Linked DNA regions of Coturnix japonica. The protein of the gene in region 2 interacts with the protein of the main gene of each other region in a pairwise test. Links are inferred from orthologs where the notes say so. Each region holds a gene or a part of one and is shown on either strand. Other genes may lie near its edges.

What was found.
Region 1: the proteins of DDX17 (region 2) and WBP11 interact in a two-hybrid assay, tested with the Homo sapiens proteins (3 studies listed by BioGRID and IntAct). The link is inferred for Coturnix japonica from reciprocal best matches to the Homo sapiens genes DDX17 and WBP11.
Region 3: the proteins of DDX17 (region 2) and RBM15 interact in binary tests that used the Homo sapiens proteins (3 or more experiments, as listed by UniProt). The link is inferred for Coturnix japonica from reciprocal best matches to the Homo sapiens genes DDX17 and RBM15.

Annotation. Positions count from the first base shown.
Region 1 is NC_029516.1:43,743,189-43,747,377, reverse strand, and holds the start of WBP11 (WW domain-binding protein 11), read right to left. Parts: upstream 2,889-4,189; 5' UTR 2,768-2,888; intron 1,818-2,767; 5' UTR 1,772-1,817; coding exon 1,708-1,771; intron 847-1,707; coding exon 815-846; intron 324-814; coding exon 230-323; intron 30-229; coding exon 1-29. UniProt on the Homo sapiens protein: Activates pre-mRNA splicing. May inhibit PP1 phosphatase activity.
Region 2 is NC_029516.1:46,434,296-46,437,950, reverse strand, and holds part of DDX17 (probable ATP-dependent RNA helicase DDX17), read right to left. Parts: intron 3,574-3,655; coding exon 3,401-3,573; intron 3,106-3,400; coding exon 2,995-3,105; intron 2,488-2,994; coding exon 2,426-2,487; intron 2,069-2,425; coding exon 2,009-2,068; intron 1-2,008. UniProt on the Homo sapiens protein: As an RNA helicase, unwinds RNA and alters RNA structures through ATP binding and hydrolysis.
Region 3 is NC_029541.1:1,769,637-1,771,926, reverse strand, and holds part of RBM15 (RNA-binding protein 15), read right to left. Parts: coding exon 2,018-2,290; 3' UTR 1-2,017. UniProt on the Homo sapiens protein: RNA-binding protein that acts as a key regulator of N6-methyladenosine (m6A) methylation of RNAs, thereby regulating different processes, such as hematopoietic cell homeostasis, alternative splicing of mRNAs and X chromosome inactivation mediated by Xist RNA.

The DNA.
Region 1 (4,189 bases), about 2.7 Mb from region 2:
AAGCTGTGGCTGCTGCACTGGGTTAAACTCTAATCGAAGACAGCAAAAGCAAGCCAAAAACTCAAAAGTTACTCTACTTTACAATTAAAATTAACGAAACAACTTCAAACCAAACCACTTGCAGTTCGTATTTCCAGTAAGTCTGCAATGTTAAGACCAAAAGTCACTAATATAATCATTACTCAGTGTTTGACTACTATCTCCAACACCCAATACCTCCCTTACTCACCCATCTCATCCAATTTTTCCATGTCCCGGATGATCTGCTTTGGGTCTTTCATCTTCAGTACAGCCGCTCGTACCATCATTCGTTGCTTTTTGTTCTAAGAGGATCAAAAATCAAGGAGATCAGAAAAGAGACACAGGAGAAAGAAAAATCTTTGTATCAAATAATTCTTTTTCAACACTCCCAATCTACAGGGGGGAAAAAAAGACATCTCCAGATGCCTTGCAGATATTAACCACAGCACAAATCAGCAGCAGAGATGTTTTGAACTTCTAGGAGCTGCAATTCCACTATCTCACTATTTACAGATGCTTCTATAACTCATACATTCCAATGAAGACACAATCAGTAAAATAAGCCAAAAGGCAAAAGCAACACAATGAATCACACCAACAAATACATAAAGGTCGTTTTGATTCAAATCCAGATTTCTGTGTTTTCTTAACTGCTTGGACAGTATATCCCTAACTAAATTTTACAAGATCAACTGAAACAGTAGTCTATTCACCACTCATGGTCTTTTATAATCACAAATATAACACATAGCACAGGAAATGCCAAGTAAATGCTCCAGATCTCTTTATGTACCTTTTTTAGTTCCCTTTTCCGAGCTTCCTTTCCTAGAGAGAGGGAAGAAAAAAGAAGAGAAAAAAAAAAACAATTTGAAAGAGCGGATCAAACTCACAAACAACTTTTCCTCCATTTTAACAAGTGCTATTTTTTAACAGCTCATTCATTTTTCATATTTCATTAAACAAAAGGAAACTTTAAAACTTATCTTCCTGTTGATAGACAAATACAGCATGAAATAGAAATCTGTTTCATAGGTGTTATATAGAAAGAAAATGCAATACAGAAGTATTTAGGCCTCTAGAAACAGCGATGTTTTTATACAGAAAAGAACAATAGACAAAAAAAGGCACAGTGATGCATGCAATGTAAAAGACTGCCGCTGAGATATAGTGCCAACAAGAAACAATGCCCTTTAAAAATATGCAGGTTTTGAATACACATCTGAAACAAAGCACGCTCACAGCAGAAGCCTGGGCTTTCTGTTTCTGTGTAGCACTGAAAATGCAGTACATTACAAAAAGGAAAACAAGGTCAGACAACTCCCTCCAGTAACCTGAGCCTTGGCAAAATGTGACCATTCCACAAATTCTAGCCTCAGATAGATTACCTACACCTCAAGAAGCAGGACAGCCAACAGTTAAGTATAGAAACTTAACTGTTTCTATAGTTAGAAATTGCCAGTGACAATTAGAGTAAGAATTAAGGGACAAACAGTGTGAAGCAGCAATGGTATGCAAACCAGTAGCTTCTTGGCAAGTTTCTACACCAGCCAAAATGGAGACAGTACTTTTTGGGTTTGGGAAAGTCAGTTCTCAGTCAGAAGTGATGATCTTCCCCTCAGAGGAAGATTTTTATCTGCTTGCCTGGGACTCCCCATTTCCTTTTGCTTAACTTCTATGGGTACTTACGAGCTTGGTCTGTGGGATTCATGAATTTCCCACTCTTGGTGGATGATGTAGATCTCCGCCCCATTTTGACTTTTTTTCTTCTGCTTCAAAATAAAAGAACTGAAAAAGACCTGGAAAAGATAACCATAATTTCAGGTTCTATACATAAGCAGGACTCGTGTGCTTGTTCATCCTCTTTGTAGTAGTAGGTTGACAAACAATCGAACAAAAGAAAACCTCAAATACAGGATTGGAGGATCTCAGAATACAAGTTTGGGCATTCACATCAAAACCATCTTATTTTTACTAAGTATCACTTATAAAGCAGTTGCAAGTAAGCAGTTGAAGTGCATACTTTAAACAAATCAGCTTGTTCTTCACCTCAAGACTTAAACCTGAAAGCTTCTTGCTTTTAGAAAAATAAAATGCGTTATTTTAACTGTTATCGTATCCCTCCATAACATAAGCATGGAAGAGCCTTTCTAGCTTTCCACTTAATGACATAAAACATCTCTATTGCAAATGTTTCCCGTAAATATCCTTCTTTGCCCAGACTTCTAGGATGCCCTTGACTTCTTCCCTACCAACCACCAACTACCCCATCCATCAAAAACCACTCTGTACACATTCTTTTTCTCATCACACACCACTGCCCTTATGCCATCTCAATCTGTTTCAAGCCACATCACAATGATCAGTAAGGAAAGACTATTCTAATGAAGGGTTCTTTCCTGCCTTCGGGCATTTCTTTAACTTACAGCCAACTGCAGAAATACAATCAGAGGCACTGCCTTTCTCAAAGAGAATAACGTTCTCAAACCTCGATCCCAAATTCTTTTAGGGTAAAAAGGAGGGTCCACACAAGATAATCGCTGTAGGAGGAGGAGAAAATCAAGCACCCCAACGAGTGCTTTGTGAGCACTGGGAAGCGAGGCAGAAAGTCTCCCATCGAAGTACACGAAGGCCTCCCCTCCTCCCTCGAGGGATGCTGGGGGAAAGGAAGAAGGCGGCCGCGCCAACCGCCTTCCACCCCCCGCTTTCTTTCCCTTCCCCCAGCCCAGCCCCATCCCTTTCCTCTCACCACTCGGCCCGGTGGGGCAAGGCGGGGCGGGGGTGGCTCAGCTCCCTCCCACCGCCGCCGCGGCCTCTACCACCACCGCGCTGCCCGCCGCTGCCGCGCCGCCATCTTGAACCGGGACGGAGTAGCGCGCCGCTGTAAAGCACGAGCGCCGTAAAGCACGATTGTCGTAAAGCACGAGTGCGGCCCAGTGCCTCTCAGAGCAGCTTTGAGATCTATGATCCCGTTGCCGTTCTGGTACGCGCGGAGGCTGCCGGGATGGCGGCGGATTGTGGGGATTGGGAAATAAAGCCTTGAAAAATCTGCATTGTTGTGAGACTTTTTCACTGTTTAATGGACTCTGAGAGAAATAAATGGATTTAATTTAAATCCTATGGTAGAAAGAAGCAGGGTAAAGATGATTTTGCTGACAGCTTCAGCAGCCAAATGAGGCCATTGGTTGCTTAGCAATGGAGTTCTGCTTATTTTGGAGCATGTGTATTATACAGATTTAATTCTTCATTCTGTGCCCACACGTTGAGCAGGGAGGGAATACATGAGTGGTGTGATGGGAGCACCTCCACCGTGTGCATCAAACACATGCCGTGCCTGCTCCTCACACAGGTTGGGTCCCTCCCTGTGGCGACAGGACCCGAGGGAATGGCCACAAGTTGTATCAGATGAGGTTTAGACTGGACATAAGAAGGAATTTTTTCTCTCAGAGAGTGGTCAGGCACTGGAATGGCTGCCCAGGGAGGTGGTGGAGTCGCCATCTCTGGCAGCGTTCAAGAGGCATCTGAACAGGGAGAGCTAGGAGATATGGTTTCATGGTTTTCTGTAGGTATGGTAAAGGGAGGACGGTTGGACTAGATGATCTTATAGGTCCTTTCCAACCTTGTGATTCTATGAATACTGGGCTCAGGGCAATGCGTTACCATGGTGGCCACAACTGCTTTCTCTCATGAACATCTACTGACTATTAGAAAAGTCTAATAACAACTGTCAGTGAAATCAGCAAGTCCCACGGATATTTTTTCTTCATGGAGTTGTGGAAAGGAAGGCGTTGGGTTATTTTAACCTCAGAACTGCCTCGTGGGGCTGGGAGGTGCTATGCACCACTATGAGGTCAGCTCCCTGGGGTTCTGACCAGGCTTCTGTGGGCTCACAGCCTTCTCTGCCCCTTAAGCTGTAGGAAAGGCTCCGGCCTGCTGGGCTCCAGCAACTTCAGCATCTTATGGACATGAGGACATCTCAGGCACCTGGTTTTGCATGGAAGACATCCTTCCACTAGGCCCAGCAGGACCAAGAATCAATCAAAAGGTGAATAGAAACTGTATTTTTAGGTTATTCATTTTGTGCCCTGCTTCCAATGGCACTGCTTAGAATTTGCTTTCAAGAAAATGTGGGTAAGCTCCCTGAAAAGTAAATAGATTTGCTTCTGTTTAA
Region 2 (3,655 bases):
AGCTACTTGGGAAACGTGCCCTTCATCAGGCCATCAGAGTACCCTATGGCATGGACAGTCTCCGATTATGGTATTAATCAGAAGGGACAAACTAGCAAACATGCTAGTCCAGAGAGCTGGTTTGACCATCAATGTAGATGTGCCCCCACCCCTGCACTGAGAATGATCTGTAGCTGATATCAAAGTTTCTGTTAAAGAAAACAAAACAAAACAAATTCATTGTTTTTAGTTTAATAGACTGAACAAAAAAAAATAAAAACTAAATTAAAAATGATCAGTGCAGAGAGAGGACCTCACTCCAGGGAATTATCACAAAGAAGTCATTATGGGACTCAGAACTTACCTGGCAGAAGCTTTTTTGAAACCAATGTTCCATTAAGAAGAGGGAAAGCCCTGGTGACTCAGCCAAAAGGCGCGCGCCCCTGTTTTATGTTATTTAGGTAGAAGCCTTCACTTTCCAGGATCTTGGAGGAAGTCGTCCAGAAGTTTGCCAGTTAAGTGACTTATTTTAAGAAGCAGCAAACTCAGGGCCCCAAAACAAGCAGAGATGTTGTTCAGTAACAAGAAACAGACTCTGGTACCTTTCCCCCACAGCTCAGGTGAAGTGGAGGATGGGAACTGGGGAGACTGTTTTCTGAGGTGTTATCCAATTGAGTAGTTTTCAGTGAGTGTTTTTGAGGGCAGGGGGTGAAGCTGTTTTAAATGTCTAGGCAAGATGCACAAAGAAGCTACCAGCACATAGCAAGCCTGTTTAAAAAATGCTGCTGAGAAAGCAGCTCTCTTTCATACAAACTAGTTTCAGGCCTCTGTCCCTTCTCCCAACAGGCCCAAGTTCTAACTGCACAGGTCCAGACATGACCCTAGAGGGCAGAGACTGAAGTCCATATAATCACCTCTCTGAGGAAGTGTTGGATGTTTTTTGAGTGGGGAGGGGAAGGAGGGGTGCAGGTTGTGTGAATAAAGACTGCCACATCTAGTAATGGTCTGCCTGTGTTAAAGTGACCATAAGATGCACAGCACAGCCACCCTTTCAGCATATGAAAAATAGAGTTCAGATAATGGTGACTTCCAATAAACCTGAGACTTTTCTGATGTTATATGCAACAATGAGCAATAACTTTGTCTAAAAGTCACCATTATTTTTTTTAACAAGACACTGACCCTGAGTAGTTATCTTCTGCCACTCAGGGAGGCTGGAATATTCAGTGCATGTTATTCAACTCAGCACTTCAGAAGGCATCCTCCCCTTTTAGAGCAGGCAGATGCATAAGGCCTGTGCCTAGCACAGCGTTTCACAGTACAAGAATGCTCATTTAAGAAGGGGGTGCAACTGATGCATCCAGACAGATTATTTTCATAGTACCAGAATTAAGTGGTGCAATTTTGATTCAGTTACAAGATCGGGCAACACTGTTAATGGCTGTATGTAAGCTCAGTGATCCTGCCTAGAAGGAACACAGAGGAGGGAAATTACATGTAAAAATCAAAAAAATCTATAAAGCAGTGCTTTCTCAGATGTAAACACATCTGCAGGGTAAAGATGTGTAAATGTCAGGGTTTGTATGTTTGAATCTGTGGTGCACTATGCAGGGAGAATATTAGCTATTTGCTGTTGAAATGCTCTCCCACAGCTTCCTACTTGGGCTTTATCTGGCACGCTCTGAACAGAGCAATCCATCCCTATAATCCAGCAACAAAAGCTGGATTTGGGGTAGAAGTGAGTGTGGTGGAAGGGTTGGGTTGCATAATTGGACGTCTCTTCTCCCTCTTGGCGATCGATTAGTCATGCCTAGGCCTTGCTGCAGACCAAAGCCTGTTCATTAGGAGCAGGAAGAGACTTTGAATATGAAAGAAAAAAAAAAGATTAATGTTAAAAAACGTATTTCACATGTGGGGGAAAATCACGCTTTGATTTTTTTTTTTTTTTTAAAAAAAAACAAGAAAACATATTTCAGGCCATAGAAGAAAAATATGCAGCAGTAGGCAAGAGTGGTCTATGTGTACAAACCTAGCCCACGAGATGCAACGTCGGTAGCAATGAGGATAGGAGCCTTTCCAGAGCGAAACTCTGTAAAACAAAGCACACTATGAAGACTTTTCAAAACAAGATAAAGTTATCTGAACTTGACTTACATTAAATGCTCACTTTCTAGAATCTCGGTAATACATATGTCAATTTCAGAACACCCAATGAGTCAGGAAATAACACATCAACTACTTCTCCAAAATCTAGCATTCCAGGTTAAGCTAATTTTCCCACTGCATTTTTGTCAAATACAAACACTGAAATTAACAGTAGAGTCAAGGAACATCCTCTGAAATGTATTTACTGGGTACAAAGACAAAAGAAAGCCTAAGAACATCATGTCTCAATAAGTTACACACAGCAGCCCAAATTATCCCCCCACCTCAGTGATGGACTCACCATTAAGCACCCAATCTCTTTCTGGCTGACTCTTGTCTCCATGGATACACATAGCTGGCCAACTGCCAAACAGAGATGTACATTAGTATAGACAGAAAGTACATATATTAAAGGCAACAGGAAGCTTTACTGGCATTTCAAAAAGAAGGCAGAAAATAAAACATCTGAGAAATATTTTTATTCCTCATCTCCTTCCTTTGGCCTTTACCTACCCAGAACCTACACTTGCACATTAAAACGCGCCTAGAATGTTTCTTGCATATTAAACCCACTAACTATACAGCAGCCATGTAAGCCAAATCGCATTTGCTATATTGATGCTGTTCCTGCCAGTTCATTACATCAGTACCCTGATATATTGAAAGCTGCACAGTTGACAAGTATTCTCTCTTCCATTAATGCTTTGATGGACTGGAATCTTCCAGGAAATTAAGACCGAATTCAGCCAAAAACTAAATGGACAGGTTGTTCCCAACAACAGCATGGCAAATGTTTAAACCTTGCTGCTTTTTATTACGGTTTCTGTTTCTCACTATAAGCAAAGGGTGGTGGGGAGGGGAGTTAATCACCCATCTCTGCGCATCCTTCGAGTGAGATCATCACATCGCCTCTTTGTCTCCACAAAGATGATGGTCTTATTTTCCTTCTCTGCCATGATTTCTTCCATCAGCTGTATCAGTCTAAAACAGACACAAGAGCACTGAGCACATATACAGATCAATAAAGCCAGCACCACTTACACAAAATTTAGGTCTTCTGTACAGTACTATGGTTAGAACATATGCAATATATTAGATAAATACGGTTAGAACATATGCAATAGATTAGATAAATACAGGACTTATTTCTGCCTGGTAACATTCAAAGGTTAAGCAATACCTCAGAGTAAATCCACTATTCAGAATTCATATTCGACAATGCTGATTTTATAATATAGCCTAAACAACCCATAAACACTAGGAAAAACCAACATACTTATGGTCTTTCTCACTCTCCATGCACACATCCACTATCTGCAGGATATTGTGGTTGGCGCTCAGCTCCAAGTTCCCTACGTTGATCTGAACGTAGTCCTGCAGGAAGTCCTCAGCGAGCTGGCGCACTTCTTTGGGCCAGGTGGCACTCCACATTAGAGTCTGCCTGTCAGGCTAAGAGAAAAGGAAAAAGGTTTAAGGTTGTGGACTTTGGATGGGAAGCTGAAGGAGGCTGTTTTTTTTGTTTTTTTTTTTT
Region 3 (2,290 bases), on a different chromosome or scaffold from region 2:
GGGTTTCGCCCTCAAACACTTAAGAGCATTAAATGAGGCTTTTAGAAAGGAAAAAATGTCTCTAAAACCAAACTTTGCTTCCAAGATAAGCTGCCACATCTGAGTTCTCAGTTCCCAGCGATGCTTGGGATGCAGCACTGCTCCTTCAGGTCACAAAGGGGAAATCCAACACGCTCTGAAAGCTGTTCCATAGCCCTACAGAAACGCACCTCTGTGAGAGCGGATCTGGAGCACACAATGTCACATTGACAGCTGCTGTGTTCATACAATACATTCAATGCATCTCATCCTTCATATATCTTACTGGCAACCCAACCCCACGCTTGGAATTGGGGTTTTTTGTGTGGTGTAAGTTGATCAACCCGCACCAATCACCCAAAGAACCCAATGGAAGACAACTGAGAGAAGCAGTGCTGCATTTACATTGCCTGTCTCTGAAGATGTGGCTAAGTGCAAGGCTACATTCTGGTTTTAAGTGCAAGATTACATTTTAGGGCCTGTATATTCATACAGAGTCACCCTTCAGCTTAGAAGCCAGAGACAAAATCCTTCCAGCTGTTAAATAAAACAATGGGGATTTGGATGCCTTCCCGCCCTCTTATAGATGCTGCATTAACAAGGTGTGACAGCTGGAGGAAAGTGCCCAACGAAGGGAAAATGAATGAGAAAATGAGCAAAGTTCTTTGGAAAACCAAGGCAAACTGTTTCCTCCCATCTCAGCAACCCGGAGGTGCTAATAACACCTTCCTCCGGATGCCTATTGAATGATAAACCTCATGTAATGCCCGCTGTACTGTACCTGAAAAGTCCCTAGCAGACAGCAGTTCCTTGCTATTAACAAAGAGGTATAAAAGATAATGAGAACTTTAAGGTAATTAAATTATTACAGAATTAAAACCATCTCTGGAGAGAAGCACGCTCGCTCAGAGTTCGCACCGTGGAAGCAGACCCCACTGTACCTGCAACTCTTGGATCAAGGCAGTAAAAACAAAACCAACCACAATAGATTCTTAAAGCACCTCCTTGTTTCCTGCATACCAGAGTTAAGCACGAGACATTCATGGTTTGTAACAAAGTCCTCAGCTATTTACCAAACATTGTCACTGCTACAAACCCAAAGTGCATTATATGGGATACAACAGAACCGAAATAGGAGAAATACACCTGGTTTTTTAACAACAAAAAATAAACCAACCCAAAAATAAAAGCATACTTTCAGTGCATGCATTCTGTGGGGCTGGATGAATCAAACACCCAATAGAAAGGAACTCATTTTCTGCAGTGTACCCAAGGGCAGGTGCTGGTCACCTGGAGGACGTCAACCTCGAGCCATAGGACTCAAAGGGAAACACTTCAGGCTCCTGAGGAAAGGGATGATGTGGGCCTGACTGAGGCCATCACAGAACTCCCACGACCCAAAAGAACAGCTGACACCAGTCTGCATCAAGCAGGGATGTGGTTTTTTCCATTCAAACTACCTTTAGTAGTGCTTTAAATCTGGTCTTTTCGGTTCAGAACTCTTTTAAAGGATGAGTTTGTCCAACTCGCTTTAAAAAACAAAAATACATGAAATGAAAAAAGGACACACGAATCAAAATGAGGAAGATGGGAGTTTGTTCTTCCCTTCCCCCCCCTCCCCATCCCCATCCCCACCCACCCCCTTCCCCAGTCTTTTGTTGTGGGGGTTGTTTGTTTGTTTGTTTCCTTTTCTTTTTTATCTATTTATTTTGTCATTAAAGTCAAAGCAGGCCAAGCCTCCCTGCTATCCCCACAGATGAGGGATTCTCAACACATCCTACTCACTCTAATGGCTAACCAACCTTTCTGGCTTCTAACCTTATAGAAAAATGCGGTAACAGAAAATAAAAAGAATGGGCACAGAAAGTCACCTACAAACAAAGATCTAATTTAAAATCATGACTGGGCTGGCTAAGGCTGTATCCCATAGCACCTGGCACACGCTGGAGGGGCTGTGTGGAGGAGTAGGCAGGGTTGGGTACAGAGCACACAAGGGCTTTTAAGATGCCCCACGGACGATGATCATGACCAGATAGTCGTCCTCTGATTTGGCCAACGCCTTGGCCGTGGAGTCCAGGAACTGCTGGGAGAAGTCGCAGGGCGGAAAGGCGTGCAGGACCCCGCTGTTCTCCTTGTCTTTGTTGCCCCCCACAGGGAGGCTGATCACCCCAGCAGCCTGCTTTTGCTTTAGATAAGAGACCAGATTCCTGAGCGGCCTCTGGGTGGAGGTGGTGGCCTCGCCAGCCCCGGCTGTGGAGCGGTTGTCTGATGT